7 linked regions of the Macaca fascicularis genome follow. The protein of the gene in region 1 purifies or fractionates together with the protein of each later gene. This does not show direct contact. Links are inferred from orthologs where the notes say so. Each region holds a gene or a part of one and is shown in the gene's direction. Other genes may lie near its edges. The genes, in order: EGFR, DNAJB11, UBASH3B, EXOC7, NCL, YES1 and AP2A1.

Evidence for each region.
Region 2: the proteins of EGFR (region 1) and DNAJB11 purify together in Homo sapiens (affinity purification with mass spectrometry; 3 studies listed by BioGRID and IntAct, with this or other methods). This does not show direct contact. The link is inferred for Macaca fascicularis from reciprocal best matches to the Homo sapiens genes EGFR and DNAJB11.
Region 3: the proteins of EGFR (region 1) and UBASH3B purify together in Homo sapiens (affinity purification with mass spectrometry; 10 studies listed by BioGRID and IntAct, with this or other methods). This does not show direct contact. The link is inferred for Macaca fascicularis from reciprocal best matches to the Homo sapiens genes EGFR and UBASH3B.
Region 4: the proteins of EGFR (region 1) and EXOC7 purify together in Homo sapiens (affinity purification with mass spectrometry; 3 studies listed by BioGRID and IntAct, with this or other methods). This does not show direct contact. The link is inferred for Macaca fascicularis from reciprocal best matches to the Homo sapiens genes EGFR and EXOC7.
Region 5: the proteins of EGFR (region 1) and NCL purify together in Homo sapiens (affinity purification with mass spectrometry; 3 studies listed by BioGRID and IntAct, with this or other methods). This does not show direct contact. The link is inferred for Macaca fascicularis from reciprocal best matches to the Homo sapiens genes EGFR and NCL.
Region 6: the proteins of EGFR (region 1) and YES1 purify together in Homo sapiens (co-immunoprecipitation; 3 studies listed by BioGRID and IntAct, with this or other methods). This does not show direct contact. The link is inferred for Macaca fascicularis from reciprocal best matches to the Homo sapiens genes EGFR and YES1.
Region 7: the proteins of EGFR (region 1) and AP2A1 purify together in Homo sapiens (affinity purification with mass spectrometry; 7 studies listed by BioGRID and IntAct, with this or other methods). This does not show direct contact. The link is inferred for Macaca fascicularis from reciprocal best matches to the Homo sapiens genes EGFR and AP2A1.

The regions. Positions count from the first base shown.
Region 1 is NC_088377.1:75,386,190-75,390,702, reverse strand, and holds the start of EGFR (epidermal growth factor receptor), read left to right. Parts: upstream 1-1,692; 5' UTR 1,693-1,953; coding exon 1,954-2,041; intron 2,042-2,268; exon of another isoform or gene 2,269-2,877; intron 2,878-4,513. UniProt on the Homo sapiens protein: Receptor tyrosine kinase binding ligands of the EGF family and activating several signaling cascades to convert extracellular cues into appropriate cellular responses.
Region 2 is NC_088376.1:98,531,834-98,535,744, forward strand, and holds the end of DNAJB11 (dnaJ homolog subfamily B member 11), read left to right. Parts: coding exon 1-48; intron 49-689; coding exon 690-747; intron 748-1,840; coding exon 1,841-1,952; intron 1,953-2,407; coding exon 2,408-2,567; intron 2,568-3,318; coding exon 3,319-3,383; 3' UTR 3,384-3,768; downstream 3,769-3,911. UniProt on the Homo sapiens protein: As a co-chaperone for HSPA5 it is required for proper folding, trafficking or degradation of proteins.
Region 3 is NC_088388.1:121,594,000-121,597,910, forward strand, and holds part of UBASH3B (ubiquitin-associated and SH3 domain-containing protein B), read left to right. Parts: intron 1-472; coding exon 473-593; intron 594-1,226; coding exon 1,227-1,349; intron 1,350-2,897; coding exon 2,898-2,990; intron 2,991-3,911. UniProt on the Homo sapiens protein: Interferes with CBL-mediated down-regulation and degradation of receptor-type tyrosine kinases. Promotes accumulation of activated target receptors, such as T-cell receptors and EGFR, on the cell surface.
Region 4 is NC_088390.1:82,527,985-82,531,895, reverse strand, and holds part of EXOC7 (exocyst complex component 7), read left to right. Parts: intron 1-2,871; coding exon 2,872-3,094; intron 3,095-3,911. UniProt on the Homo sapiens protein: Component of the exocyst complex involved in the docking of exocytic vesicles with fusion sites on the plasma membrane.
Region 5 is NC_088386.1:127,378,987-127,382,897, reverse strand, and holds part of NCL (nucleolin), read left to right. Parts: coding exon 1-78; intron 79-745; coding exon 746-943; intron 944-1,039; coding exon 1,040-1,126; intron 1,127-1,163; exon of another isoform or gene 1,164-1,233; intron 1,234-1,312; coding exon 1,313-1,454; intron 1,455-2,511; coding exon 2,512-2,636; intron 2,637-3,272; coding exon 3,273-3,396; intron 3,397-3,858; coding exon 3,859-3,911. UniProt on the Homo sapiens protein: Nucleolin is the major nucleolar protein of growing eukaryotic cells. It is found associated with intranucleolar chromatin and pre-ribosomal particles. It induces chromatin decondensation by binding to histone H1.
Region 6 is NC_088392.1:69,457,335-69,462,010, reverse strand, and holds the start of YES1 (tyrosine-protein kinase Yes), read left to right. Parts: upstream 1-1,803; 5' UTR 1,804-1,972; coding exon 1,973-1,995; intron 1,996-4,676. UniProt on the Homo sapiens protein: Non-receptor protein tyrosine kinase that is involved in the regulation of cell growth and survival, apoptosis, cell-cell adhesion, cytoskeleton remodeling, and differentiation.
Region 7 is NC_088393.1:57,793,299-57,796,220, forward strand, and holds the end of AP2A1 (AP-2 complex subunit alpha-1), read left to right. Parts: intron 1-396; coding exon 397-521; intron 522-605; coding exon 606-722; intron 723-816; coding exon 817-886; intron 887-1,063; coding exon 1,064-1,198; intron 1,199-1,619; coding exon 1,620-1,697; 3' UTR 1,698-2,054; downstream 2,055-2,922. Other genes in the region: FUZ (protein fuzzy homolog), read right to left, coding at 2,091-2,314.

The DNA.
Region 1 (4,513 bases):
TTTTTTGTTTGTTTTTTGGTCACTCAAAGGAGAAATTCCTGTGCAGTCTTACAAATCAGTTGTAGCTTAAATTGATTTGTGTTGTGACTTGTGCACACAGGTCACATTCCCTTGACAGAAAATATAGTTTAGAAACAAATTTGCGGCAGTTGTTAAGTGAATGCACAAGAGTTTATCATATTTAGGTCTTTTATTGTAAGACTCACTCCTGTCTTCATTTTATGTTCCACTGCTGTGCTTCGCATTTGCCTTTCTCTAGTTTTGTTTTCTGTCTCTGTGTTTCTATAGGGACTGCTCTCAGCCCAGGTGTGCAGGAAGCACACACGTGCCTGCAGAGCCTTCACCATCTCTGCATCCAGGGACTGACTTCAACGCACAGTGGCTGTACTGATCCGCTAAAACAAAGGAACAAATTACTTCTTCTAATTCACAGGGAAGTTCCAGGTTGTACGGGTGGTGAGGAGCCTTGTGTCTGTCTGCGCTTGCCCTGGTGAAAAACCCACCGTTCAGGCTGCAGGGTGTGAAACCCAGGCACAAACACTTCGCTGGATGCGGAGGAAAGATGCAAGGTTGCTCCCCTTCAGAGACAGCAAAGGGCAGATCTGTAGCTCTACTTACTTCAGGATTATGATTTTTGACAGAGCCGGGAGATCAGGGTTGTTGAACCAGGCCTGAAGGTCCTAGTGAATCTCGTGAAGAGAGGAGGGGTCTGACTGTAACATGGACCTAGAGGACATTCTTACTGCAGGAGAAGCAACAGTGGGGATGGGGTGGACTTGCCAAAGGAATGTAGCTCAAGTTCCTGCAGCCTAAAGCAGCTCAGTTTCTTTCGGCCAAACTTTCGCGAACTTCCCTGGCATTTCTCCTGCGGGAGCTACCGGTGCAGTGGGACACTTAGCCTCTCTAAAAGCATCTCCACAGCTGTTTGTGTCAAGCCTTTATTCCAAGAGCCTCACTTTTGCGAAGTAACGTGCTTCACACATTGGCTTCAAAGTACCCACGGCCGGTTGCAGTAAACATTGAGGAGGCCTGTCTCTGCGCCCAAAGTTGGGTGCCCTCATTTCAGACGATTTCTAGGGTGCTTCACGGGATCTGAAGGACCCTCGGACTTTAGAGCACCACCTCGGACGCCTGGCACCCCTGCAGCGCGGGCACAGCGACCTCCTCAGCTGCCAGGCCAGCCTCTGATCCCCGCGAGGGTCCCTGGGTGCTGCAGGGGAGGTGAGGACCAGAATAAAGGAGCAGTTTCCCCGTCGGTGCCATTATTCGACGCTGGCTCTAGGGCTCGGCCAGTCTGTCTAAAGCTGGTAGAAGTTTGTTCTGTAAAACAAAAGAAGGGAAAGGGGGAAGGGGACCCTGGCACAGATTTGGCTCGACCTCGACATAGGCTGGGCCTGCAAGTCTGCGGGGACCCAGTCCAGAGGGGCAGTGCTGGGAACGCCCCTCACGGAAATTAACTCCTCAGGGCACCCGCTCCCCTCCCGCGCGCCACCCCCTTCCCGCGGGAGACCAGGTCCCGCGGGGGTCACCGCTGTCCACCGCCTCCGGCGGCCGCTGGCCTTGGGTCCCCGCGGCTGGTTCTCCTCCCTCCTCCTCTCATTCTCCTCCTCCTCTGCTCCTCCCGATCCCTCCTCCGCCGCCTGGTCCCTCCTCCTCCCGCCCTGCCTCCCCGCGCCCCGGCCCGCGCGAGCTAGACGTCCGGGCAGCCCCCGGCGCAGCGCGGCCGCAGCAGCCTCCGCCCCCGGCACGGTGTGCGCGCCCGCCGCGGCCAAAGCGGCCGGAGTCCCGAGCTAGCCCCGGCGGCCGCCGCCGCCCAGACTGGACGACAGGCCACCTCGTCGGCGTCCGCCCGAGTCCCCGCCTCGCCGCTAACGCCACAACCACCGCGCACGGCCGCCTGACTCCGTCCACTATTGATCCGGAGAGCCGGAGCTTGCTCTTCGGGAAGCAGCTATGCGACCCTCCGGGACGGCCGGGGCCGCGCTCCTGGCGCTGCTGGCTGCGCTCTGCCCCGCGAGTCGGGCTCTGGAGGAAAAGAAAGGTAAGGGCGTGTCTCGCCGGCTCCCGCGCTGCCCCCGGATCGCGCCCCGGACCCCGCAGCCAGCCCAGCCGCGCACCGGCGCACCGGCTCGGCGCCCGCGCCCCCGCCCGTCCTTTCCTGTTTCCTTGAGATCAGCTGCGCCGCCGGCCGGGACCGCGGGAGGAACGGGACGTTTCGTTCTTGGGCCAGGAGAGTCTGGGGCGGGCGGGGGAGGAGACGCGTGGGGCACTGGGCTGCGGGCCGGCGGGGAAACGGCCGCCTGGACCTCCGGCGCCCCGAACCGCTCCCAACTTTCCACCCTCACTTTCCCCGCCCCGCTGCGCGGAATCGGCGTCAGTGGGCGAAAGCCCCGTGCGGGTGGGTGCCTGGGGCCGGGGTCCCGCACGTGCGCCCCGCGCTGTCTTCCCAGGGCGCGGCGGGGTCGCGGCGCGCACCCGAGGGACTGGCGCTGCCCACCCGCCGAGGCTGCGCTGTTTAGGGAAGCTGAGGAAGGACCCCGAAAATAAAGCCTCCCTTCGGACCCCGCGGGACAGGCGGCTTCCTGAGCGAACCTCCCTGCCTCCGCGCTCCGCGCAGGTCTCAAACTGAAGCCGGCGCCGGCCAGCCTGACCCCGGCCCCTCTCCAGGTCCCCGCGATCCTGGTTCCCAGGTGTGGAGTCGCAGCCTCAACCTGGGAGCTGGGAGAAGTCCGCCACCACCTGCGGCGCCTGGGAAGGGGTGGTGCTGGCGGCGGTGAGCTTCCTCGTTGGCAAAAGGCAGGTGGGGTCCGACCCGCCCCTTGGGCGCAGACCCCGGCCGCTCGCCTCACTCGGCGCGCCCTCGTCTTGCCGGTCCAGGTATGCCCCCCACCTCCTGGGGACCCGAGCTCCCTCCCGGGCGCCCGCGCAGAAAGGCCCGGGCTCTCGTTCGGTGGCCGCCTCGCGGGGACGTCCGGGTCTGCCCCACCTGCAGCCCTTCGGTCGCGCCTGGGCTTCGCGGTGGAGGGGGACGCGGCTGTCCGGCCACTGCTGGGGGGATCGCGGCCTCTAGTGCGGAAGCCCAGGAAGCAGAGCTCATCCTGGCCAGCACCACAGTGTTTCAAAATGGGGCTCACAGCAAACTTTTCTCCTCAAAACCCGGAGAGTTTCTTTCTTGGATGTTTCTTTTTGCTGTCTGAAGAATTTGACATTGAGCCAACCAAAATATTAAACCTGTCTTACACACACACACACACACACACACACACACCGGATTGATGTCCCTGGTTCAAGTGTGCCAAGTGTCCAGACAGAACATGAGCGAGTCTGGCTTCGTGACTACTGACCATAAACCCACTTGACACGGGAAACATGCCTCGGAAGGTTTAATTGCACAATTCCAACCTTGAGCTGCGCGGGTTCCAAGAGCCAGGCCCGTACTTGCTGTTGATGTCACTGGCATGGGGAGTTGGGGTTTGGTGCCCAGCGCGGTCGTTGGGGGAGGGGCAAGACATAGAACAGTGGTTCCCAGACCTTGCTGCACGTTAGAATTACCTGGGATTTAAAAAAAAAAATCAAAACAAAAACCAGTGTCTGAATCCCGCCCCCAGACATTCTGATTTAATTGGCATGGGGCAAGACCTGGACATGGGATTTTTTTTTTAATGCTTTTCATGTGATCTGTTGGGGAGCCAGGTTTGGGGATCACCGGACGGAAGAAGGATTGTTAAAGTCTCCGGAGAGATTACTTGCCAATGCAAAGAGCTCTTTGAGGACATCTGGAATTTTAACAATGTTGCCAAATATAGGAAAGAGGGAAAAGGTGGGGTGTGGTTCCAATAATAAAAGATTCCTCTTTTCATTGAAGGAACTGGTGGAAAGGTTTCTTCTCTGCTGAGCTTGCAGGGCCCCTCCTGCCTGCTTGGGGGCTGACTGTGGGTCCTGTTAGTCAGGTGTCAGCCCTGTCTCTGCTGAAGAGACTCTTCTCTTTATTTTAAATTAAACCCTCAGAGCACCTCCAAAGCATCACTTTTCTCCCTCCAGTGGGGTTCTCATTCTTTGATGTTACTTGCTTGAACACCACTGTTAGTGATTGGAGATTTGTTCCTGAGAAAAATATAAATACCACTTAATTTGCCTGTTTATCCTGTATTCACTCAAAACAGAAACTCCTGAAGACAGAGAGAGTAGGTGAACAGGCGCTATTCTGTTACAGTAACATAAAAGACTGAATTTTCAGGGGCAAATTATTAAAGTAGGAGATGAGCTCTTTTAACAGAAATTTGTTTGAGACCTGTGTCTATCAAATTCAGTCGATTTTATTCAAGATGCACTTCGTTTAGTAAGGGTTTTGTTTGGTTCTGGGACATGCTAACTTCTGGACTTGCTGCTCTTAGACGTAATGACTGCCAGACACCGTTTCATGCGTCCTAATCCCCACATTAAGCATAAGAGGTGTACACTCTCCTCCTATGGGGGAAACTGAGGTACAAAGAACTAAAGTGACTTTCCCACC
Region 2 (3,911 bases), on another chromosome or scaffold:
TAGAGCCTGGGGTGAGAGACGGCATGGAGTACCCCTTTATTGGAGAAGGTAAAATATTGATATTTGATTTTTTTATTGTCATAACTTTCTGCTCTCTGCTTGTTTGTGAATACCTCTCATCCCTGCCTTGCTCCATCTTAATGTTCACATAGTAAATGCATATATAATTTCCAATACCCTTCAGCCAATTTTAGGATATACAAAACTTTTTGTTTACCTGAAGCAGTAGCATTACTGTTTATCCTTTGAATGTCATGGCCAAAAGTTATTATGAGGTAACCTAAGTTTCCTCAAAATTTAGGGTGTTCAGACCTTAATGAATTTTAACTCAGCAATGAAAGAAGATATGTAACTCTAGTTGGCATTAATAAGATGTTCTCAGGACCTCACCTTTAGACTTAAGTTTAAAACTCTAAAAATAAAAAAAAAAGCTTTGAGACTTAGGTTCAATAGACCAGTGAATCATTCTTGGTTTAGGAAATGGGTCAAGTTATGTACTGCTGTATCTGAGGCAAAGGTAATGATTTCTAATAATCTGAAACTTGATAGAACCAGGCAGAGACACGGCCGCCACAGATTTGACAGATCAATGCCCAAAGTAGTGGATTAAAAAGAATTATCAGTTGCCAAATAGATGTGTGGTATTCAACTCGTATGATTTACAATATGCTGTAATCTGCTCTGACTAGGTGAGCCTCATGTGGATGGGGAGCCTGGAGATTTACGGTTCCGAATCAAAGTTGTCAAGTAAGTTATCTAATTTTAGAGGTCTTCTCAGATGAGTCAGATTATAGAGGTGTGGGTGGCCACCAGAGCAGTTAGAGACTTTTTTCTCTGTTTCTTACCCTTATTACCCTAAACGATGATTTGTAACTCCTCTACAAGGCTGAAAGCTTGGGGTTGGGCCCTAGGATTGAGCCCCAGTTATTTATTTACTTAGGACTTTACAAATGCAAAAGATGTTGAAAGGAAAGAATTGATAAGTAAGGAGTTATAAAAGAGAAACAAACAAGATAGGGAGTCAAAGCTGAGATTTTAGCTGAAGAACTATGGCACCATACAAGAATAGGAGACTTTGCCATAGAAATAACTTTCTACGTAATATGCAGCTTCTGTGAAGAGAGAGCTTTTCTTTTGTGAGCTTCTCTTCAGCATGAAGTGCTGCTTAGACAATTTTGCCTGGGACTCCGGCTTTCTTGATTAGTATTTCTCTCTTGTTACCGCTTTGGAAACCAGTAATATCTCTGCATCTATAAGGAGTCATCAAAACAGAGTTCCCACCAGAATAGGGAGAAATGGCCGCCCACTGTCTGGGACTTTTCCTTCCTGCACTCTTTAATCTCAGTGTTGTTTTCCCCAGCTTCTTTGCCTACCTTGTCTTTATCATCACTTCTTAGAGAAACTGGAATGTGTGTTGTTTCCTGAATAAACCTGACACCTTCCTTGTCTTTGCCAGAATTCCTTCTCACTCTATTTCCCCTTCCTTCCACCCATTTTATCTGCATTTCTACAGCCAACTTAGTCTTGTGAGCCCAGCTCAGGAAACTTCTGTAGACCCATTTCTGAAGATGATCTCCCCAGAAACTTTCTTTCTCTTTTTTCCATAATCTAATGATTATAGTTTTACTTATACTCTGGCTTTTGCTGATTGTGTGTTCCTTAACAGTAGCATTTAATAAGACTTAAACAACTTTATATTCTCGATTAATACTACACACAAACGTATGTCTAAGAAATGTTTATGGTTTGAAAGAGTGGTGTTCACCTTTTTCCAAGATTTTTCTAACAACTCTTTGAACTTAAAGTGGAAATTAATGATGTTTACCTATTCTGTTTTTAGGCACCCAATATTTGAAAGGAGAGGAGATGATTTGTACACAAATGTGACAATCTCATTAGTTGAGTCGCTGGTTGGCTTTGAGATGGATATTACTCACTTGGATGGTCACAAGGTAAACAAACCAATTTACTTGTTCTCCGTCCTTTTGAAGCCTTTATGTGGGTAGTTTTGAGATGTATCAGCTGTTTCAGTCATTGAGAACCAGAGGGACTCCTTTCTCAGTCGTATTCTTCGTCTGTACTTACTCTGCTGCTGAGCATCCTGCAATAACAGTGCCAGACCTTTCAGCTACTCAGAATGGATTGCACAGCCTTTGACAGTCTTGTCCTTATAGTTTCTATTGATGAAAACCTTTCTTTGTTTACTTGTTTTGGTGTTTGATTTTTCTTCTTTAATAAAATCCTTTGTTCTTGACTGACATTGTCCTAATGATATTTCCTTTGCTCCTTCATTCTTTCTTTTTGCTGAGCTGTGACATTAGCTTTGTGTACCAGTGCTCACTAGAAGCTGTATGATGTACTTCAGATGTACCGCTCCTGCTGCAGTGCGTTCCCTTTTGTTTCCTAGGTACATATTTCCCGGGATAAGATCACCAGGCCAGGAGCGAAGCTATGGAAGAAAGGGGAAGGGCTCCCCAACTTTGACAACAATAATATCAAGGGCTCTTTGATAATCACTTTTGATGTGGATTTTCCAAAAGAACAGTTAACAGAGGAAGCAAGAGAAGGTATGGCATATGAGTGTGTGTGTGTGTGTGTGTGTGTGTGTGATGAGAAAAGGGTGGCAATAGAAGCAGAACTCTCCAGTGACATGAGACATCAAGACATCAATCATTAATGCTAGTAGAACACTAACATAGGAATGAACTCATCTTACTTTGTAAAGGCGATATGTTAAAAATCCTACATCTTTGTGTTACAAAAGTCTGTGTAAGCTGTGCTTCGAAACCTAGGGAGTGATAGAGTATGTGGGAATGAAACAGAATCCCTTAAAACAAATGAGCTGGACCACTCTGTAAAAGGGAAGATGAGGTAGACAATAGAAAGATTAGGAGCTTATGGTTGCATGTCTAGGATGACTGGCTGAGAAGAGGGCCCCACTCGGGGTCCTAAATAGTAAGAGAAAGGAGAGCAATGAAGGAGGAAAAAACTGAAAAGAGGATACAGAAGAAGGAATGGGAGACTTAACTGAAGAGTTTTCTTTCCCTTTTGATTGCCTCTTCTCATTCCTCATTTTGCAGAGCTTTGTGGGACATGTATGTGGTATGTGGGCCTAAAAGAGACAAGGGATCATCCTGGAAACATATGTGCATGTGTGGGATTACCTACATGCGATTATGTTGGAGATTGGTAGTTATTTAATTCACATCCATGTTTGTCATAAGGCCTTTTATGAGCCTTTTCTTGAAATATGCTCTTTAAACACTAGGAAAGTAACATTTTTTTGTTAATGGAGTCATTTGTTCATTCATTCTTCAGGTATCAAACAGCTACTGAAACAAGGGTCAGTGCAGAAGGTATACAATGGACTGCAAGGATATTAACAGTGAATAAAATTGGACTTTGTTTAAAATAAGTGAATCGGCGATATTTATTATCTACAGGGTTTTTTTGTGTGTGTTTTTGTTTTTATTTTCAATATGCAAGTTTGGCTTAATTTTTTTTGTCTAATGATCATCATGAAATGAATAAGAGGGCTTAAGAATTTGTCCATTTGCATTCAGAAAAGAATGACCAGCAAAAGGTTTACTAATACCTCTCCCTTTGGGGATTTAATGTCTGGTGCTGCCGCCTGAGTTTCAAGAATTAAAGCTGCAAGAGGACTCCAGGAGCAAAAGAAACACACATAGAGGGTTGGAGTTGTTAGCAATTTCATTCAAAATGCCAACTGGAGAAGTCTGTTTTTAAATACATTTTGTTGTTATTTTTTTCATGACTCCTGTTTCTTCTGTGAGCTATTTGGGTTGTCCTCCCATCAAGCAAGATGGATGCACAAGCATGCAAAAGAGTGATATAGATCCAGTCCCCATGCCTAATTACATACACGGCATCTGCTAGAAAGGAGCTTGGAA
Region 3 (3,911 bases), on another chromosome or scaffold:
GGAGTGGACCATGAGGACCATGCGATCTGGCCACACACTTTAGAGAAAAGGTAGACACATTTGTGATCACAGAAGCCCTCACTCCCTGAAGAAGTTGATGAATCGCCCCTTCTGGGCGGGGGAAGATGTCCCACTAGATGGCTGTCTCTACATGAATGGCTAGTTTTGCCTCTGAGCTGTAACTGAAAGTGTACAGCATGTTTTAGTAATGGCCAAATGCTACTCCTACACAGGGCAGCTGTAGCAACAATAATGCCCTTTTCACAACCCTCCTCGTTTTATAAAGACATGCAGTTTATCTTATTTGAGCCTCAAAATAATTTATGAGGTCTGTAGGATGAGTCTTACTGTCCTCACCTAGTCACACCTTGGCAGAACTTTGGTAGGAGAGCTCAGCTCACCTGGCACCTGGCTCCAAGACATGTCCACTTTGCCATGTGAGTCTTCACTAATAGCCTTTCTTTCTCTGTAGCCGCTGAGGGTCAACAGCCAGCCTGGCCCCCAGAAGCGATGCCTCTTTGTGTGTCGGCATGGTGAGAGGATGGATGTTGTGTTTGGGAAGTACTGGCTATCCCAGTGCTTCGATGCCAAAGGTGAGTTGTTGGTGGGCCTGCTCAGCACTGCCATACCCATAGTGGCCTCTAGGGGGCACAGTCAAGCTACGGTTATCCGGATGGAGTCATTTATAGTTTTGTGTACTATAGAAAATGTCTGTTATCCGTAAGCCCCTCCTGATTGTCTTGAGCTTTAGGGAAGAAGTAAGTGTTCTTGTCCCCATTCTATAAACTTGGATGCCAGGACTAAAGAAGACAGATGTCTTGCCCAAGGCCACATGGCAAAGTCAGCAGCAGCAACGTGCCCTAATCCCATGGCCAGAGCTCCTGCCATTAAACCTCCCGGGTTCGCTGGGTTCCATTTTCACTTGAGTGGCATTTGAAGACACGGAGGCTTGCCTGACCAGGGAATCTCACCTGCCTTAGGGTGCATGGTTATTACCTTCACTGAGAAACTACCTCATGTCACTTTTGTCAGTAGAATGGAAGAGTGAATTCCAAGTCACTTTATGAAACAAAATATCAGCCTTGATATTTTCCATCAGCTCCAGAGAGCTCAATGTGATCTCTTTGGCCAAGAAGGAATGGGGGTGGAGAATGTCAGGATCAGTAAGGGAGTCTCAAGTAAACAAGAAATGTATGTATCCTCTGTCTAACTTTTTTATTTTTCAGGCCGCTACATACGGAGCAACCTGAACATGCCTCATAGTTTACCTCAGCGGAGTGGTGGTTTCAGAGATTATGAGAAAGATGCTCCCATCACTGTGTTTGGATGCATGCAAGCGAGACTAGTGGGTAAGTATCCTGGAGTGACTATACTCCAGGCATTTCCTGCCGCCTCCTTCAAAACGCTGGTACCATGGATATGCGGGACCCTTCCTGGGGGCTTCTATAACTTTCCTACAAGTAATAAATTTCTTCAATTCAAAAGGAACTTGCTACACAACCATTAAGTTTAGGACACTGTGCTCAGCCCTGGGTTGGTTGACCAAAGTGAATGAGGTGTGGTCCTTATTGAGGACCTCGTGATCCAGTAATGGCTTGGGTTACTGTGCTCACTGTTGGATGTAGCAGACAGGTCAGCCTCTAGTTCAAGACAGCAGCATCTGCCAGCATGGCTGTGGAAGAGGACAAGAGTGAAGAAGACGGACCTGGACTTGCTGAATTTATAAAGGCCAACTGATCCTTTGAAGATGCCCAGCTCTTTGCAAGCCCATTCCATTACTGCCGCGGGGAGATAGTACTTTCCTGTTCAGTCACTTAGCAGATATGTAGTGCTCACTTACCTTGTGCAAGGTATTGGACTAAGGGAACCCAAGTGTGAGTCAGGGAAACAAACTTATGTGTGGATAAATATCATACAATATAATATACATAGAGCTATGCGTGGTCACCAAATATTATGGGAACACAAAAAGACATCTAAGAGGTGAAGAGGTGAGCTGGGAGCTGAAGTGGAAGTTAGCTGGGCAAAGAAGGAGCAGGAGTGAGGAAATGGCATTCTCAGTGGGAGGGACCACATAAACTGTGTCTGAGGCTTGAGAAACAGCCTCAGGAATGCAGGGGAAACAAAGTGCCTTATGTCTAGAGTATAAATTGCAAGGCAAGGCAGAGATGAGGCTGGCAAGATGGATAAAGGCAAGTTCATGGAAGACCTTGATCACCATATTAAGGTGCTCGGATTTAATCCAGTAGACAAAATAACTGGTTTCCAGGCCCGGCGTGGTGGCTCTCACCTACAATCTAGCACTTTGAGAGGCTGAGGCAGGAGGACTGCTTGAGACCTGGAGTTTGAGGCTGCAGCGAGGTATGATCGCACCCCTGCACTCCAGCCTGGATGACAGAGCAAAACCCTATCTCTGAAAATTAAATTAAGAAGAATAATAAATTTTTTAAAGAAGTGGATTTTATGAGGATAGCATTAAAGTATGAGGTGTTGGGATTTATCTCTGGTGTCTAAGAATATGACATGTTGAGATTTTGGTTAGCACAGAATAAAATTAAAACAAGACCTAATATTCATAAAATAAATCCTCTTTCACAAACTTGAAGCCAAAGTATTGTCCTGTTTCTTAATATCTCCTAGCTAAAGGCTTTACCACTTGTTAGCACCAGAGGGAAGGGAAAGAAAAGGCAAGAAGGGCTCTGTCACTTGCTCTCACAGGAACACCGATGAGGGGTTTTGTTAGAAACTAACAAAGGCTGACACTACTGGCTCTATGTGAGCCCCAGTTAGGAAAGAAGGGTTTACAGGGGCTTACTGCTTGGCCCCCTCTCACACTGCGAATCGAGGTGAGACTGAGTAAATCCATCAGACTGATTCTTTTGTGGTTTTCTTTGCAGGCGAAGCCTTACTAGAGAGCAATACCATTATCGATCATGTCTATTGCTCCCCGTCCCTTCGCTGCGTTCAGACTGCACACAATATCTTGAAAGGTAAGACTTGCAGGTTGACAAAAACAAGTAGTCCATCCCTCTGTTTCTAGGCAGCCCCACACATAAATTATCTTAGAATCATGGGACATTTGCCAGTTGAAAGCTTCGAATTTGGAATGAAGCAAGGATTCTTTCAGAAGGCGATCTTTGCCCAAGTCACAAAAACATACTCTGGCAGCCTAAGCGAAATAAGAGGAAGTATACTAGTCATGTTTTCTTTGAGAATTTAAAGCGCTCTTGGATGAATCCTAGGCTTGCAAAATGTTTAGAGCTTATAGAGTGTGATCCTTTCTTTACACTTAATAGTCAAATAACTTTCCTGTTTTGATCTGTTGTTTGCCTCCTGTGGTGCTCCTAGGAGCCTCAAATCTTAATCATCATTTTTTCTTTACTTAATTGGAGAGACTTTAAAAGCATCATTGCTACCAAGATACTCAACTCTCACCCTAAAATCTGTGGAAGCATGAGTTACAGGTATCTCCATTCTCATTTCATGGGAAGGAAAACTAAAAGGAACAGGATTAGACTGTTTACTTCTACCAAAGAAATGAATGAGCCAGAAATAAGCCAACAAAGAACTTGACACTACATCTGAGTCTTCTATCCTTTAACCTTAAGTAGACCTCTTCACTACCAGAAGGCATTTATGTATTCAATTTGCACAGAACAACTGGACTGCATGCAATATGACGATAACTAAGCAGGGACCATTTCTAGGAAGCCAGCTGCACTACGGTAAAACACACAGCTTCTGCACTGCTACTAGTAAATGTTCAGCATTCGATTTTCTGGTAGAGAAAATGAACAATTTACATGATATTCAAATACGATGTTGGATACTCAGAAACTATCTGAAGTTTCTTGGTAACACCATCATGGAATTTGCCTTAGAAAGAGGAATTATGGGGGCCAGGTGCGGTG
Region 4 (3,911 bases), on another chromosome or scaffold:
CCGGAGTAGATGGGATTACAGGTGCCCGCCACCACACCCGGCTAATTTTTGTATTTTTAGTGGAGATGGGGTTTCGCCATGTTGGCCAGGCTGGTCTCAAACTCCTGACCTCAGATGATCCCCCACCTTGGCCTGGGATTACAGGCATGAGCCATTGCACCCAGCCACATTTGATTTTTATAAATGTATTTGTTGTTTCTTTATTTTGGTTAAAAATACATAATATAAATTTTTTTTTTTTTTGAGACGAAGTTTTGCTCTTGTTGCCCAAGCTGGAGTGCAATGGTGCGATCTCCCAAGCGATTCTCTTGCCTCGGCCTCCTGAGTAGCTGGGATTACAGGCGTGCGCCACCACTCCCGGCTAATTTTTTTTTTTTTTTTGTAGTTTTAGTAGAAACGGGGTTTCACCATGTTAGCCAGGCTGGTCACGAACTCCTAACCTCAGGTGATCCGCCTGCCTTGGCTTCCAAAGTGCTGGGATTATAGGCGTGAGCCACCGTGCCCGGCCAAAATATACTATTTTAACTCTAAGTTAACAGTGGCATTAAGTCCCTTCACAATGTTGTGTAGCCATCACCATTATTATCTCCACAAATATGTTCATCTTCCTCAAGTGAAACTCCACTCCCATCAAACACTAACTTCCCATTCTCCCTTCCTCTGTCTTCTGGTAACCACCATTCCACTTTCCGTTTCTGTGAATCTACTCTAGGAACTTGAATCTATGTGATTTTTTTTTTGCATTATATATTTTTAATTTTTTTTTTTTTTTTTTTTTTGAGACAGAGTCTTGCTCTGTCGCCCAGGCTGGGGTGCAGTGGCCAGATCTCAGCTCACTGCAAGCTCCGCCTCCCGGGTTTAGACCATTCTCCTGCCTCAGCCTCCCGAGTAGCTGGGACTACAGGCGCCCGCCACCTCGCCCGGCTAGTTTTTTGTATTTTTTAGTAGAGACGGGGTTTCACCGTGTTAGCCAGGATGGTCTCGATCTCCTGACCTCGTGATCCGCCCGTCTCGGCCTCCCAAAGTGCTGGGATTACAGGCTTGAGCCACCGCGCCCGGCCAATTTTTAATTTTTTTTTAAGAGACAGGATCTGGCTATGTCATCTAGGCCAGACTGCAGTGGCACAACCATAGCTACTGCAGCCTCGAACTCCTGGGCTCAGGCAATCCTCCCGCCTCAGCCTTCCGAGTAGCTGGGCCCACAGGCACGTGCCACCATGCCCAGCTAAGTTTTAAATCTTTTGGTAGAGAGGAGGTCTCCTGTGTTGCTCAGGCTGGTCTCAAACTACTGTCCTCAGGTGATCCTCCCACCTTGGCCTCTCAAAGTGTTGAGAGGGATTATGGGCATTAGCCACTGTACCTGCCTTCATTGTATCTTTGTGTTTAAGTTTTGGGGTCATTAGATCATCAGAGCAAGATAGTGGCTTGGCCTCTGGAAATCACAAATCTATTTTCTGTCTTTATGGATTTGCCTATTCTGAATTTCTGATATAAATGGTATCTTATAATACATGGCCTTTTTTGCTGGCCTCTTTCACTTAGCATGATGCTTTCAAGATCAGTCCATGCTATAGCGTGTATCAGTACTTCATTTCTTTTTCTTGCATATGCTATTCCTTTTTGTGGATAGACCACAGTTTCTTTTTTTGTTTTTTGTTTTGTTTTGTTTTGTTTTTTTGTATTTTGAGACGGAGTTACGCGCTTGTTGCCAAGGCTGGAGGGCGATAGCACAATCTTGGCTCATTGCAACCTCTGCCTCCTGGGATCAAGCGATTTTCCTATCCCAGTCTCCTAAGTAGCTGGGATTACAGGCACCCACCACCACACCCAGCTAATTTTTTATATTTTTAGTAGAGACAGGGTTTCACCATGTTGGCCAGGCTGGTCTTGAACTCCTGACCTCAGGTGATCCGCTTGCCTCAGCCTCCCAAAGTGCTGGGATTACAGGCGTGAGCCACCATGCCCAGCCAGACCACATTTTCTTTAGCCATTTATCCTTTGATGGACACTTGGGTTGTTTCCAATTTTTGTCTCTTGTGAGTAATGCTGCTATAAACCCTTTTATACACGTCATCGTGTGGACAGATTCATTCTCTTCTATGTTTGGGATACCTGTCTTTTATCAGATATGTAGTTTACAAATATTTTCTCTCATTCTGTGGGTTATCCTCACTTTGTTGATGTTATCATTTGCAGCACAGAAGTTTTCAATTTGATACTGTTCAAGTTATTTATTTATTCTCTTTTGCAAACCCCCCACTAACAAGAAGACACATTAACGGTGCAGTGAGAAAATAATCAGCCAGTATTTATTAAGCACCTACTTCTTGTAAAACCCTGGTTTTTACCTGTAAACACAAATTTTGAGAGAATATGAAGTAAAGGAGTCACCAAGGCCGCTTCCTGACATTTCTTCTTTGGGTTAAAGGATATCAGGGCAGGCCAGGTACGGTGGCTCATGCCTGATCCCAGCACTTTGGGAGGCTGAGGCAGGTGGATCACCTGAGGTCAGGAGATCAAGACCATCCTGGCCAACATGGTGAAACCCTATCTCTACTAAAAATACAAAAATTAGCTGGGTGTGGTGGCATGTGCCTGTAATCCCAGCTACTCGGGAGGCTAAGGCAGGAGAATTGCTTGAACCAGGGAGTTGGAGGTTGCAGTGAGCCAAGATTGTATCACTGCACTACTCCAGCCTGGCGGCAGAGCGAGACTCTGTCTCAAAAAAAAAAAAAAAAAAAAAAAGGGTATCAGGGCAGAAAAGGGCAGAGGCCCTGAGTTAGGAAGACCAAGCTGGCACAGGCAGGGGAAGGCCAGGACTGGCAGAGCACTGAAGCAGCAGGCACCCGCTTCCTTCTGTTGTCCCTGCAGAAACTGCTCTTTGAGCGCGGGAAGGAGGCCCTGGAGTCTGAATTCCGCAGCCTGATGACACGGCACAGTAAGGTCGTCTCACCTGTGCTCATCTTGGATCTGATCAGTGGTGATGATGATCTGGACGCCCAAGAGGATGTGACCCTGGAGCACCTGCCCGAGAGCGTGCTGCAGGATGTCATTCGCATTTCCCGCTGGCTGGTGGAATACGGCCGCAACCAAGGTAAGAGGTTCTGACTCGGCCACGTGGCACACTGGAGGCAGAGTGAGTTTTTTTTTTTTGAGATGGAGTCTTGCTCTGTTGCCCAGGCTGGAGTGCAATGGTGCAATCTCGGCTTGCTGCGGCCTCTGCAACCTCGGGTTCCAGCGGTTCTCCTGCCTCAGCCTCCTGAGTAGCTGGGATTACTGGCGCACGCCACCACACCTGGCTAAGTTTTGTATTGTTAGTAGAGATGGGGTTTTGCCATGTTGGCCAGGCTGGTCTTGAACTTCTGACCTCAGGTGATCCACCCACCTCAGCCTCCCAAAATGCTGGAATTACAGACGTGAGCCACCGTGCCCAGCTGCCTTTATTCTTTAATCCACTTGTCGTGGCTTTTTTGATAAAAGGATGTTTAACTGGAACCAATATAAGCAACCATTCTATGACTTATATATCAAGCTGTGAATCTAGGCAAATTCAAACTTTTCTTGTCTTGATTTTTATGTTCATTTGCCTTTTTTGATTAGTTGTAAAATTTTCAAATGGTACAGAAAGCCATGGGTGAAAAATAAAAGTCCATCTTCCACTTCCGCGATGCCTCCATTACATAACCCAAAGATGAGCACTGTTAATGTTTATTTATGCCAGGTGTGGTGGCTACACCTGTAATCCTAACACTTTGGGAGGCTGAGGTGGGGGGATCGCTTCAGCTCAGGAGTTCAAGACCTGGCCAACATGGCAAAACCCTGTCTCTACAAAAAATATAAAAATTAGCTGGGTGTGGTGACACATGCCGGCAGTCCCAGCTACTTGGGAGGCTGAGGTGGGGGGAATGACT
Region 5 (3,911 bases), on another chromosome or scaffold:
CTGCCCCTGCCTCAGAGGATGAGGATGATGAGGATGATGAAGATGATGAGGATGAGGATGATGACGATGAGGAAGATGGTAAGGAGTTGTCTTGGTAGTTACTGGGCTTCTGATTGCAAGATATCTTGAGATTCTGGGATCAACATATTCCACAACAACCTGGAGATGAGAGTAGAGTCCTTGTGGGAATTCTCTGGGCTGTTGTGTGTTAGACTTAATTACCCATGAATGATTTTTGTCCCTCCTGAGAAAATTTCAACAGCACATTCTGTGAGTGTTTTTCATAATGTAGGATTTTGTTTCTTAGTGATCTTTTTTGTTTTGTTTTTGTTTTTTAATTTTTTTGACATGGGAGTTATTGCTGTTTCCTAGGCTGGAGTGCAGTGGCACGCTATCTCAGCTCACTGCAACCTCCATCTCCAGGGTTCAAGCAGTTCTGCCTCAGCCTCCCAAGTAGCTGTGATTACAGGCGACCACCACTATGCCCTACTAATTTTTGTATTTTTAGTAGAAACGAGGTTTCACCGTGTTGGCCAGGCTGGTCTCGAACTCTTGACCTCAGGTGATCCACCCACCTTGGCCTCCCAAAGTGCTAGGATTACAGGCGTGAGCCACTGTTCCTGGCCCCAAGTAATCTCTTCTTGCCATGACTATTAACTAAACATGGTGACAGGATTGCATTAGATTTTAAAACCGATGTTGGTTTTGGGAGATTGCTGCAATTTTTAGGTGGCTTATCTTTCAGACTCTGAAGAAGAAGCTATGGAGACTACACCAGCCAAAGGAAAGAAAGCTGCAAAAGTTGTTCCTGTGAAAGCCAAGAACGTGGCTGAGGATGAAGATGAAGAAGAGGATGATGAGGACGAGGATGATGACGACGATGAAGATGATGAGGATGAAGATGATGATGATGAAGATGAGGAGGAAGAAGAGGAGGAGGAAGGTAATTAGATTCTGACATACATTGACATGAGTTGTTTAAAGGAGGCACTTAAGTGTTTGTGGCTATTGATGGGTAATACATTGACATCTTGTCCAGAGCCTGTCAAAGAAGCACCTGGAAAACGAAAGAAGGAAATGGCCAAACAGAAAGCAGCTCCTGAAGCCAAGAAACAGAAAGTGGAAGGTAACTTGCAGAATTAGTGGATGTGGGGGAGATAAACAGCACAAATGATGAATGACAAAGGGACTTAATACTGAAACATGATGTTACATTGCAGTGTGCTGATGTGCTGTGTATAGAAATTTTGCTTTGGAAACTAACTTTTTACCACACTTCACAAGTAGACTGAGTTCAGCTTTTTTTGTATAGGCACAGAACCGACTACAGCTTTCAATCTCTTTGTTGGAAACCTAAACTTTAACAAATCTGCTCCTGAGTTAAAAACTGGTATCAGCGATGTTTTTGCTAAAAATGATCTTGCTGTTGTGGATGTCAGAATTGGTATGACTAGGTAAGTGCTTCATGCGCATTACATACACATGGGTCTGTTAATACTTTTCCTTCCCTTATTAGCACAGTTACTTTAGCCTGCCACTCCTAAACATGAATAGTGTAAACGTTTTCAAGGATTAGCATTAGTGAACTAAGTTAGAATTAAACTATAGAGTCCCTGGATTGCAAATTTCCAGTCAGTCGTAACTTGGTATAGCACAGAATAATCTTAGTAAGTTTTTTTGTCTTTTTTGTTTTGTTTTGTTTTTTATTGAGACGGACTCTGGCTTTCGCTCAGGCTGCAGTACAGTGGCGCAATCTTGGCTCACTGCAACCTCTGCCTCCCGGGTTCAAGTGATTCTCCTTCCTAAGCCCCCTGAGTAGCTGGGATTACAGGTGCACGTCACCACGCCTGGCGAATCTTTGTATTTTTAGTTGAGACAGGGTTTCACCATGTTGGCCAGGCTGGTTTCGAACTCCTGACCTCAAGTGATCCACCCAGCTCGGCCTCTCGAAGTGCTGGGATTACAGGCGTGAGCCACTGTGCCCAGCCTAAATTGGGGTCTTGAGGCACCAGTATTGGTGTTAGGCAGGAGAATCGCTTGAACCTGGGTGACGGAGGTTGCAGTGAGCCAAGTTCGCACCACTGTACTCCACCTGGGCAACAGATCGAGACTCTGTCTCAGTTTAAAATAATAATAATTTGATGTTTATTTTCTTGGAAGTACCTGAAACTATTAGACCTGACTAGTCATCATAGTGAATGCTTTTATCCAGGCAGGATTCTCCTGTATTAGTGCTTACAGGTGTTCTTTTGTCAGCTGCTACTGTGAATTGTTATAAGCAATTTAGCTAATGATGATGACTTCAAACGTGAATGTGCACGTCATATCTCCGTACTGAGACCTTATTCTGTAGCTACAATTTGCAGAGCCTTGACTTTGTTTTGCTAATATTAGGAGTGCTTTTTAAAATGTGATCTTCGTTTGCATCATCACATTTGTCTAGAATACATATTGTGGATTTCAATTTGTGTTTTCATCTGTTGTAATTTTGCCCTTCTCTCCACCTTGAAGGAAATTTGGTTATGTGGATTTTGAATCTGCTGAAGACCTGGAGAAAGCCTTGGAACTCACTGGTTTGAAAGTCTTTGGCAATGAAATTAAACTAGAGAAACCAAAAGGAAAAGACAGTAAGAAGGGTATGTAAGGCTTTAGGATATTATGCAATAAATTCAGGAGCTAGACTGCTAGGGAAAATGCTTTGTAACCCATTTCCCTTGGTTTCCTCTCTTTAAATTTTTTTTTCCCCTTGGTTTCCTCTTAATGTGGGAATTAAATGAGCTGGTGTTTACAAGAGTACTTGGCACTGCTTGCTAGTGTTACAGTGTAAATTCTTGAGTTAGGCAAGCAAGAGCACTTTTATACAGAACACGAATTATTAGATGCACCTAAATTAATGTAAAGGGGTCTTCACTGAAACTAGATTAGGTCCCTAATTACTGTTTGCATCGTTTACTTTATTTCTCTATATACAGTTGTAATGTTGTAATGTTTTAAATTGGTACGTTCACCTTTTTTGTTTCTAAAAATAATATGCATCTACTTCAGGTTGAACTCTAGTGTACCCAGCGGATAGTTTGACATCAGCTGTGACAACATGGAGGGACCACTTGTGTGTTGACACTGCTATATCTCCAAGGCACAGAGCCTTGTACATTATAGGATCTCAAATTATTTGTTGAATAGAGCTATGTCTTTTTTTTTCCCCTCTTTGTTGTTGCCCCCCACCTTTGGTTTTTCAGGCCATGGAGCTCATTTTTGTTTTTTTAATCTAGAGCGAGATGCGAGAACGCTTTTGGCTAAAAATCTCCCTTACAAAGTTACTCAGGATGAATTGAAAGAAGTGTTTGAAGATGCTGCGGAGATCAGATTAGTCAGCAAGGATGGGAAAAGTAAAGGGTATGTTCTGTCTATTGAAATGTAAGGGTTTTCTTAACATGAATACACATTCCTGCTTTATAAAAGAAATGTTGGTTTGATTTTCTTAGGTGTGTAATTTTGGGCAGTTTAACCTGTAAATTTGTGCCTCAATTACCCATCTGTACCATGGGGATAACGCACTCATAGGGTGATTTTAAAAGACAAGGTAATACATATAAAGGAGCAAGAAATGTGCCTAGCTTACAACAAATATTTTGTGAGTAGTAGTTCAGTGAGGTGAGGTTACTGTGAAAAAAATTTTGAGTATTTGTAAAACTGTAGTGGGAAGTAAGAGGGAAGCTCAAGTTTGATTGAAAAGTAGCATAAAACTAAGGGCATTTATTGTATTCAGATCTGAAGCAAGTTCTGTGTTGCTGAGGTATAAAAGCATTTGTGTTAATGTGGTTTTAAAAACCATGAGTTCTTCTCCCTCCATTGCAGGATTGCTTATATTGAATTTAAGACAGAAGCTGATGCAGAGAAAACCTTTGAGG
Region 6 (4,676 bases), on another chromosome or scaffold:
GAGGCAACTCAGTAAGTCAATGTAATCTATAACTTGTAGGTGACATTCTGACATACTCTCCCAACTTTAAAACTCCATATAGAACATCTTCAAAGCCACCTTACCCCTTAAACTGGGGCAAACTACTATTTAATTTCATTTATTATTTTTAAAAATATATTTTATTAGATAGGAGGTCTCCCATGTTGCCCAGGCTGGTCTCCAACTCCTGGGCTCAAGCGATCCTGCTGTCTTGGGACTCCCAGAATACTGGGATTACACGTGTGAGCCACCGTGCCCGGCGTATTTCAGAGCTGGTTTTTAGACTGAGTGTTTAAGAAGACAAAGACATCTCTATTTAGTGAAGAAACTCAACAGCTCAAGGAATTTTCTACTTTAATAAAAGCTGAATATAGACCTACATAAAATTTTACAACCCTGAGACAGTCAAAGACAAATGAAGTTTTAGTAGCTAAAGAAAATACAGCACCGTTCCACATTATGTGTATCTTTAATGCCTATGCCTACCTTTCGTTCATTTAGTGAGCTGAAAAAAAAATGTTCAAACCCTTATGTGCATTTCCTTAAGTTCCTAGAACACCGAAATACTGACACGTATGACTGTACTATTTCGTATCTGTCGATGATTCTGAATTTCACTAAAAACCGCAAAGGAAACCAATAGTCACACAACTATTCTGATAACCCCACCAAAGAGGAAATAAAGAAAGGAAGTTACTCCGAAAGTCTGACAAGGCAGAAGTGACTGCAGCAGAAGTGCCTCAAGGGTCAGTTCATGAGGACCTTGATTAACGCCCCCACCCCATCCTTCCGGGTCCTCCCCCTTCTTCAGCGACTGGGTACGAGGCTCATAGGAAAGGTGCGCGGCTTCAGACCGACACGATTCCAGCTTGGCTCCTCCACTTTCGGGGTCGCTGTTTCCACAGCTTTCGAGCAGGATAACCATACTTGTTGCACTTCCCTCACTGGGCTGCCGCCAGCAGCATATAGACATACGCTGTCCCAACATAAGCCAAAGCCACCATTACTGAGATAGTCGCCAAACATAACTCAGCTTCGGTTCCCCTCCCGGCAAGGCTGGTTCGACCTACAGTTAACAGGAAGCTCCTGGGGGCAGGGACAGGATCCCTGCCTCGGAAGGAGGCCAGACGTGAACGTTGTTTGGACGGCATCTGGATAGTGACGAGAGTGTGAGTAACGCCCCCGGCTCACGCGGTTGGGCTGAGATTTTACTACCAACGACAAAGGGTGCGGAAGCATAGTGCTGAGAAGCAGCCAGCCAAAAAAACTCAACCCCGTCCTCCCCCGCAAAAACAAGCCCCAAAGCCCTGGGCACTACGGAGAGCCGGGCCAAGGAAAAGAGAAAGGCAGAGGGGCGGAATCGGGGCGCCCCATTCAATCCCCGCGGCAGCCGAGCGTCGGTGGGTTCGCGGCTGGGAAGGGGCGCCGCGGGCCTGCTCTCCGGGCGGGGAAGCACCTCCTCCTCACGCCCCCTCAGCCTGCACCGCCCCCGGGAATCCGCCCCGGACCCCGCCGCCATGTTGGGTCGGGAGAAGTGACACGGACCGGTCGCATACCTAGACCACAGCAAAGCGGCCCAGAGCCCGCGGAGGGGACCTGGCGGGGGCGTAAGCGCCGGAAGGCTGGGGGCCCTGGAGCCTGGCCGGCGTGGCCCGAGTTCCGGTGAGCGGACGGCGGCGCGCGCAGGTAGCCGCAGCCCCCGCCCCGCGCCCGCCCCCGCCCCCGCTAGAAGTGAGGGGGCGGGGCCGGGGGAAGGAGGTGGAGAGTGAGGCCGAGGGGTGGGGAGCCAGGGAACTCCCTCGTCCTGAAGCAACGCGTCCCGGGCCGGCTCTGCAGTGGTTGCTGCAGCCGGGCGCCCCGGGACGAGGAGGTGGAGGAGGGAGAGGGCCCGCGGGCCTCGCCTCCGCCCTCCGTCCCCTCCCGCCACCTCGAGCTGCGGCAGCAGCGACTCATGAGAGCGCGGCCGGAGGACAGGTAAGGACCGGGTGGGGCCCCGCGGGCGGAGGGGTCCACCCCGGCACGGACAGGGCTAGGCCCCAGCGCCCGGAGCCGCCAGCACCGCCGCGGTTCCCCGCCCCCGCGGGCCAGAGTCGGGAAGTTGGGAAGAAACTTCTCCCCTCCCCCGGCTCGCCCCGCGGGCTCGTCTCGTTCCCCGCGCTACCTGCTCGCCCCTGACTTGGTCTCTGCCCCATTCAGTCCTGCCGGGTCCCGCCCAAGTCCGACCTGAGGTCCCAGGGGCGTGGGGACACTCTCCACCGCTTGTCTTTGGGGTCGTGTGGACAGCCCGGCGGCGTGGAGGCGAGGTTTATTTTTGCCCACACGGCCGAAGTGGGGGCGAGGGAAGCGGTCCCTTTTCGGTCCTAAAGGCTGGGGGTCTGTGTCTCGGCCGACGCCAGTAGCAGCTGTGCGGGGAGAGGAGAGGGTGTGTGGGGCGAGTGGGTGAGCCTCTCGGGCTTTACTCGGTTTGATTGAAAACCGCAACATGTTTAAAGTTTTCCTTTGTTTTGGATTGGGGGTTGGGAAATTTACCATTCAGCGTCCACTTTTTCATGCCACTCCGCCTCCCGTTGCGTTCGGTTCCCTGTCCACATGTGTTAAAGAAAATTTTGTCTTAAAGTGTGTTTTTCTTCTTGATAATTGCTTCCAGCTTTCACTTTATTGGGCATGGAGCAGAGTTGTTTTAAGAAGCTCTTTGAAAATCAAGTCTGGTGTAGGGACTTTAGTTTTTGTTTTGAGTAGGACTTAACAGTTCGGATTTGGTTGAATTATTTTCTGCATAATTAATTGATACAGGCGTGGAATAACATACGGTCTAATTTGTACATTATTAAAGGAAATAAAGTCTGGTGGAAGCACAATTTTATGTCCATACCATTTATTATGTATATACGTTCCACGGATGTGTGTTTTCACATAGTTGATTTCACGTGTATATAATATGATTATAGTATCTTCATGTATTATAATTGTAAGATTAGTGCCAAAGATGTCTTGATAATTTTAAATGTGTTTAAACCATCCTGTTAAATTTCTAAAGTTAAATAACTCACTAAGGAAAATATTACTAAATGTATACACATGACTGCATTTAAGGAAAAGTGCATGGTAAATCTAATAACTGTCACAGTGCTTGGCACACGGTGGACAGGAAGCATTTTGGTCAGGTAATAAAGGAGTATCTTGTATTAACCAAGGATCTTGTATGCATCACTTACGATTTTCATATATTGTACAGTAAGGAAGTTTTACTTTAGCAAATAATATATATGGTTTTGTTGTTTTTGTTTGCTTATAAATGTGAGACCCCTGCCACAATTGACATGTAAGAAAAGGAAGTTAAATTGTATTTTAATTTTTGGACATTAGCTAAAAGTCGGTGGAGATTTTAAATGCTGGTTAACATTTCAGAGGGTCCTACATTTGAAATAGACAGTTGCCTTTGATCTGAAAACAAAACAGTTTATATCCATGTTTCCAGGATAAAAGATAAAAGGGCTCTTAAAATACATACTCTGTTGTAACCACCGTAATGTTATAATAGCTTTAATTTCGCAGTTAGGTTTTGCTGACTTCATAAACCACAAAATTGATTCCTTTCTGTTCATCTGAAAGTGAAATTACAGCTTTGACCTGTCTTCCTGGGTTAGGTGGAATTTGTCTTATGGTCGAAGTATATAACATTAATACATGGGCGTTTTTTTGTGTGTGTTTTAGTTCAGGAAATTCACAAGCTGAAAAATTGTTTATGCAAGTAGAATTCCTTCGTGGTATGTATTGATAAAAGAATAAATGTGCTAAAAGACTAGAAGTAAACCTGTATAAGCGAAATATTATCAACCAATGGTGTAAGACTTACTCAAAGTTGAAATTTGCATCATGTTAAGACAGTAAATAATTTATTCCTATGGGTAGTTTTTCTTTACAACATCAGTGTAGGCATCAGTTATTCTATTAGCATTATAGTAAGAAAGAAGACTAATGCCAAAAAAATTTAAGTGATGCTAAACTCTGGTGTCGCCCAAACTTGGGTAATTAAAAAAGAAAAAACCTGCAAGGAAATTTCTGTGAACGTAAAGATAGAAGCATAGAATACCTGTGGTTCTATGAAAGGAAATATATAGGAAGAGGGAGGAGATTGTGATAGGGACCTGGCTTCTGAAGTGGTGACAAAGTTGTTTTAACCTGATAGGAGTTACCAAGGGTATTGGTTTTAGTGTAATACATTAAGCCCTACGTCTGTATGCAGAATCTGTTTCTATGTTTTATTTTACATGAATTTTTTTTAAGGAATCCAGTGTATAATGTACTATATGAGGTGCTTGGTTTAAGAACATAATTTGGTGACTGACTTTAGAACACTACCTAGGCTATCCTTTGCAAATAGGAATAGATTTGTTAAATCATAATTGTCATATACCAGCTAGTATGTATAACGACTTTGAACACGTCAGGCTGGGCATGGTGGCTCACACCTGTAATCCCAGCACTTTGGGAGGCGGAGGCAAGGGGATCACTTGAGACCAGGAGTTTGAGACCAGCCTGGCCAACATGGTGAAACCCCATCTCTACTAAAAAGTACAAAAATTATCTGGGTGTGGTGGTGCACCCCTGTAATCCCAGCTACCTGGGAGGCTGAGGCACAAGAATTGCTTGAA
Region 7 (2,922 bases), on another chromosome or scaffold:
TCACCACACCTGGCTAATTTTTTTTGTAGAGATGGGGTCTTGCCATGTTGCCCAATCTTACACATGTCCAGAGGCTTAGAGAGGTTAAGTGGCTGCCCACAGCCACTCAGGTGGGTAAGAGATGGGATTCAAACCCAAGTCAGCCTCCAGAGCTAATACTATTATGTCTCAGTGAGGTGTGACATTGTGGGAGGCCAAAGGAGGCACCTAGGGGGCGCCTCAGAGGTTTCCATAGTATGAACTTTGTAGTTGAACCTTGTAGGATTGAGTCCAGGATTGCACCATGGGGTCCCTCAAAGACCTGCAGGCGGGAGCTGCCGGCAGCTCTGGGGTTCCTGACCCAGACCTCCCGGGGGCCCGCCGCCTCTGTCTGGCTTCCTTGACCGCTGGCGGGCACAGCTGGCTGTGCAGACCAAGCGCGTGGCGGCGCAGGTGGATGGCGGCGCGCAGGTGCAGCAGGTGCTCAATATTGAGTGTCTGCGGGACTTCCTGACGCCCCCGCTGCTGTCCGTGCGCTTCCGGTAAGTGAGGTGCGGCGCGGCCAGTGGGCGGGGCCTCCGGGGCGAGGGGCGGGGCCTAACGGAGCCTCCCCCTCACTCCACCAGGTACGGTGGCACCCCCCAGGCCCTCACCCTGAAGCTCCCAGTGACCATCAACAAGTTCTTCCAGCCCACAGAGATGGCGGCCCAGGATTTCTTCCAGCGCTGGAAGCAGCTGAGCCTGTGAGGGGTGGGGAGGGGGCGGCGCCAAAGCCGCGCCTCCGGGTGGGCGGGTCGGGCCGTCCAGGTCCCTGACTTGAACCTTCCCGGTCCCCAGCCCTCAACAGGAGGCGCAGAAAATCTTCAAAGCCAACCACCCCATGGACGCAGAAGTTACTAAGGCCAAGGTGAGAGACCGCGGGCGTGTTTGCTGGCCTAGGGCTGCTTTGCTTCTCTGAGCCTCTGTTTTCCCATCTGTAAAGTGGGGCCAATTCCCATCCCCAAGGGTTTTTGGGATCTGGGATGCCACTGTGTGGTAACTGACAGCTCTGGCACTCTCTGACGGCGGCCCCCCTCCCTCCCAGCTTCTGGGGTTTGGCTCTGCTCTCCTGGACAATGTGGACCCCAACCCTGAGAACTTCGTGGGGGCAGGGATCATCCAGACTAAAGCCCTGCAGGTGGGCTGTCTGCTCCGGCTGGAACCCAACGCCCAGGCCCAGGTAAGTGCTGCTGTGGGAGGCCTGAGGTCGGCAGGAAGGCCACCTGTCATCTCTGTGCCCACTCTTCCTGCCTCACTGTTCAATTCACGTCCCCCCTTTGACCCTCCTCCTCTCGCATCTTTGTCCACTTTTCCTCCTCTTTATCCATCAATCTTCTCTCCTGTCTCCAACCTCTGGTCTTCCTCTCCTCTTCCTGTCCCTCCCTGATTTCTACCTTTCCATATCGTTTCCACCTTTCTCTTCTCATTTATAATTTCCCTCCTTTCTGGCTCCTCCGTTGATTTCATTCTTACATTCTCCTCTCCTGTGTCTTGTATCACTTTTCTGGCCCCTTTATCCTTCTTTCTTCTATCTCCCTTGTGTCCCCACTTCCCTGGGCTCCCCATCTTCTCTGAGTTCTGCCCCCAATGTCCCCACCCAGATGTATCGGCTGACCCTGCGCACCAGCAAGGAGCCCGTCTCCCGTCACCTGTGTGAGCTGCTGGCACAGCAGTTCTGAGCCCTGGACTCTGCCCCCGGGGATGTGGCCGGCACTGGGCAGCCCCTTGGACTGAGGCAGCTTTGGTGGATGGGGGACCTCCACTGGTGACAGAGAAGACGCCAGGGGTTGGGGGATGCCTGGGACCTTCCTCCGGCCTTTTGTATTTTTATTTTTGTTCATCTGCTGCTGTTTACATTCTGGGGGGTTAGGGGGAGCCCCCTCCCTCCCTTCCCCCCTCCCAAGCACAGAGGGGAGAGGGGCAAGGAAAGTGGATGCCTCCTCCCCTCCCACCCCACCCTGTTGTAGCCCCTCCTACCCCCTCCCCATCCAGGGGCTGTGTATTATTGTGAGCGAATAAACAGAGAGACGCTAACAGCCCCATGTCTGTGTCCATCACCCACTGCTAGGTAGTCAAAGAAGTGGGGTGAGGGCATGCAGAGTGTGGGTGGCTAGGCTTCGCAGCCCATGGCTGGGACTCTGGGGAGACAGCAGCAGCAGCAGCCGCCGAACCCCCAGCTGCAGGGCCACCAGACGCACTCCTTTGCCTGGTTCCTCAGTCCCCAACACCAGGTAGCAGGCTCTGGGCAGCTGGGCCTGGTAGACCTCATCTTCTGTCTTCTCTGGTGGCCCTGGCTCTGGGGAAAGAACGGGGGGACTGAGGTGACAAGTAGCATGCTAACCTTTGGAAGCCACACCACATCCTGGGCCCAAGTTCTGAACGCGTGGGGTCTCTGAGCACAGGTTTTGGGAGCCTTCTGCCAGGGCAGGGCCTCGGGATTCTAGCAAGCTGTCAGCAACTTGAAGACCATGATGCTCTCAGCTCACCCTCTTCCTCTTTCTCAGCCTTGGCCCCCATTTTCCTGGGGAAACTGTGCAGCTGCAGGCAATCCTCTTAGCAATACACATGGCAAACACGGCAGAAACACAGGAGCTCCAGTAGCCTTTTCCAGGAGCCCACCTGCCCCACTGCATGAGGTGGGTGGAGGGAAGCAGGCAGGGGCCAGGGAGAGGTGAAGTTGCACAGCTAAGAAGGGGTGCAGCCCCCCAGATGGAGCACTTGACCACTGTGCTGCATTCATCCGGGCTTCACTGGGGTCATAGCGCCATCCCAGGGCCCTCCCTTTGTCTCTCTGGGCCTTTATGGGTTTTACAACAGTTTTTCCTTTCTAACCCAGCATCGGTGAAAACCTGCCCCATCCCCCAAGCCTATCAGCAAAGTCTGTGCTTTCAGCAGTAGTGCAGA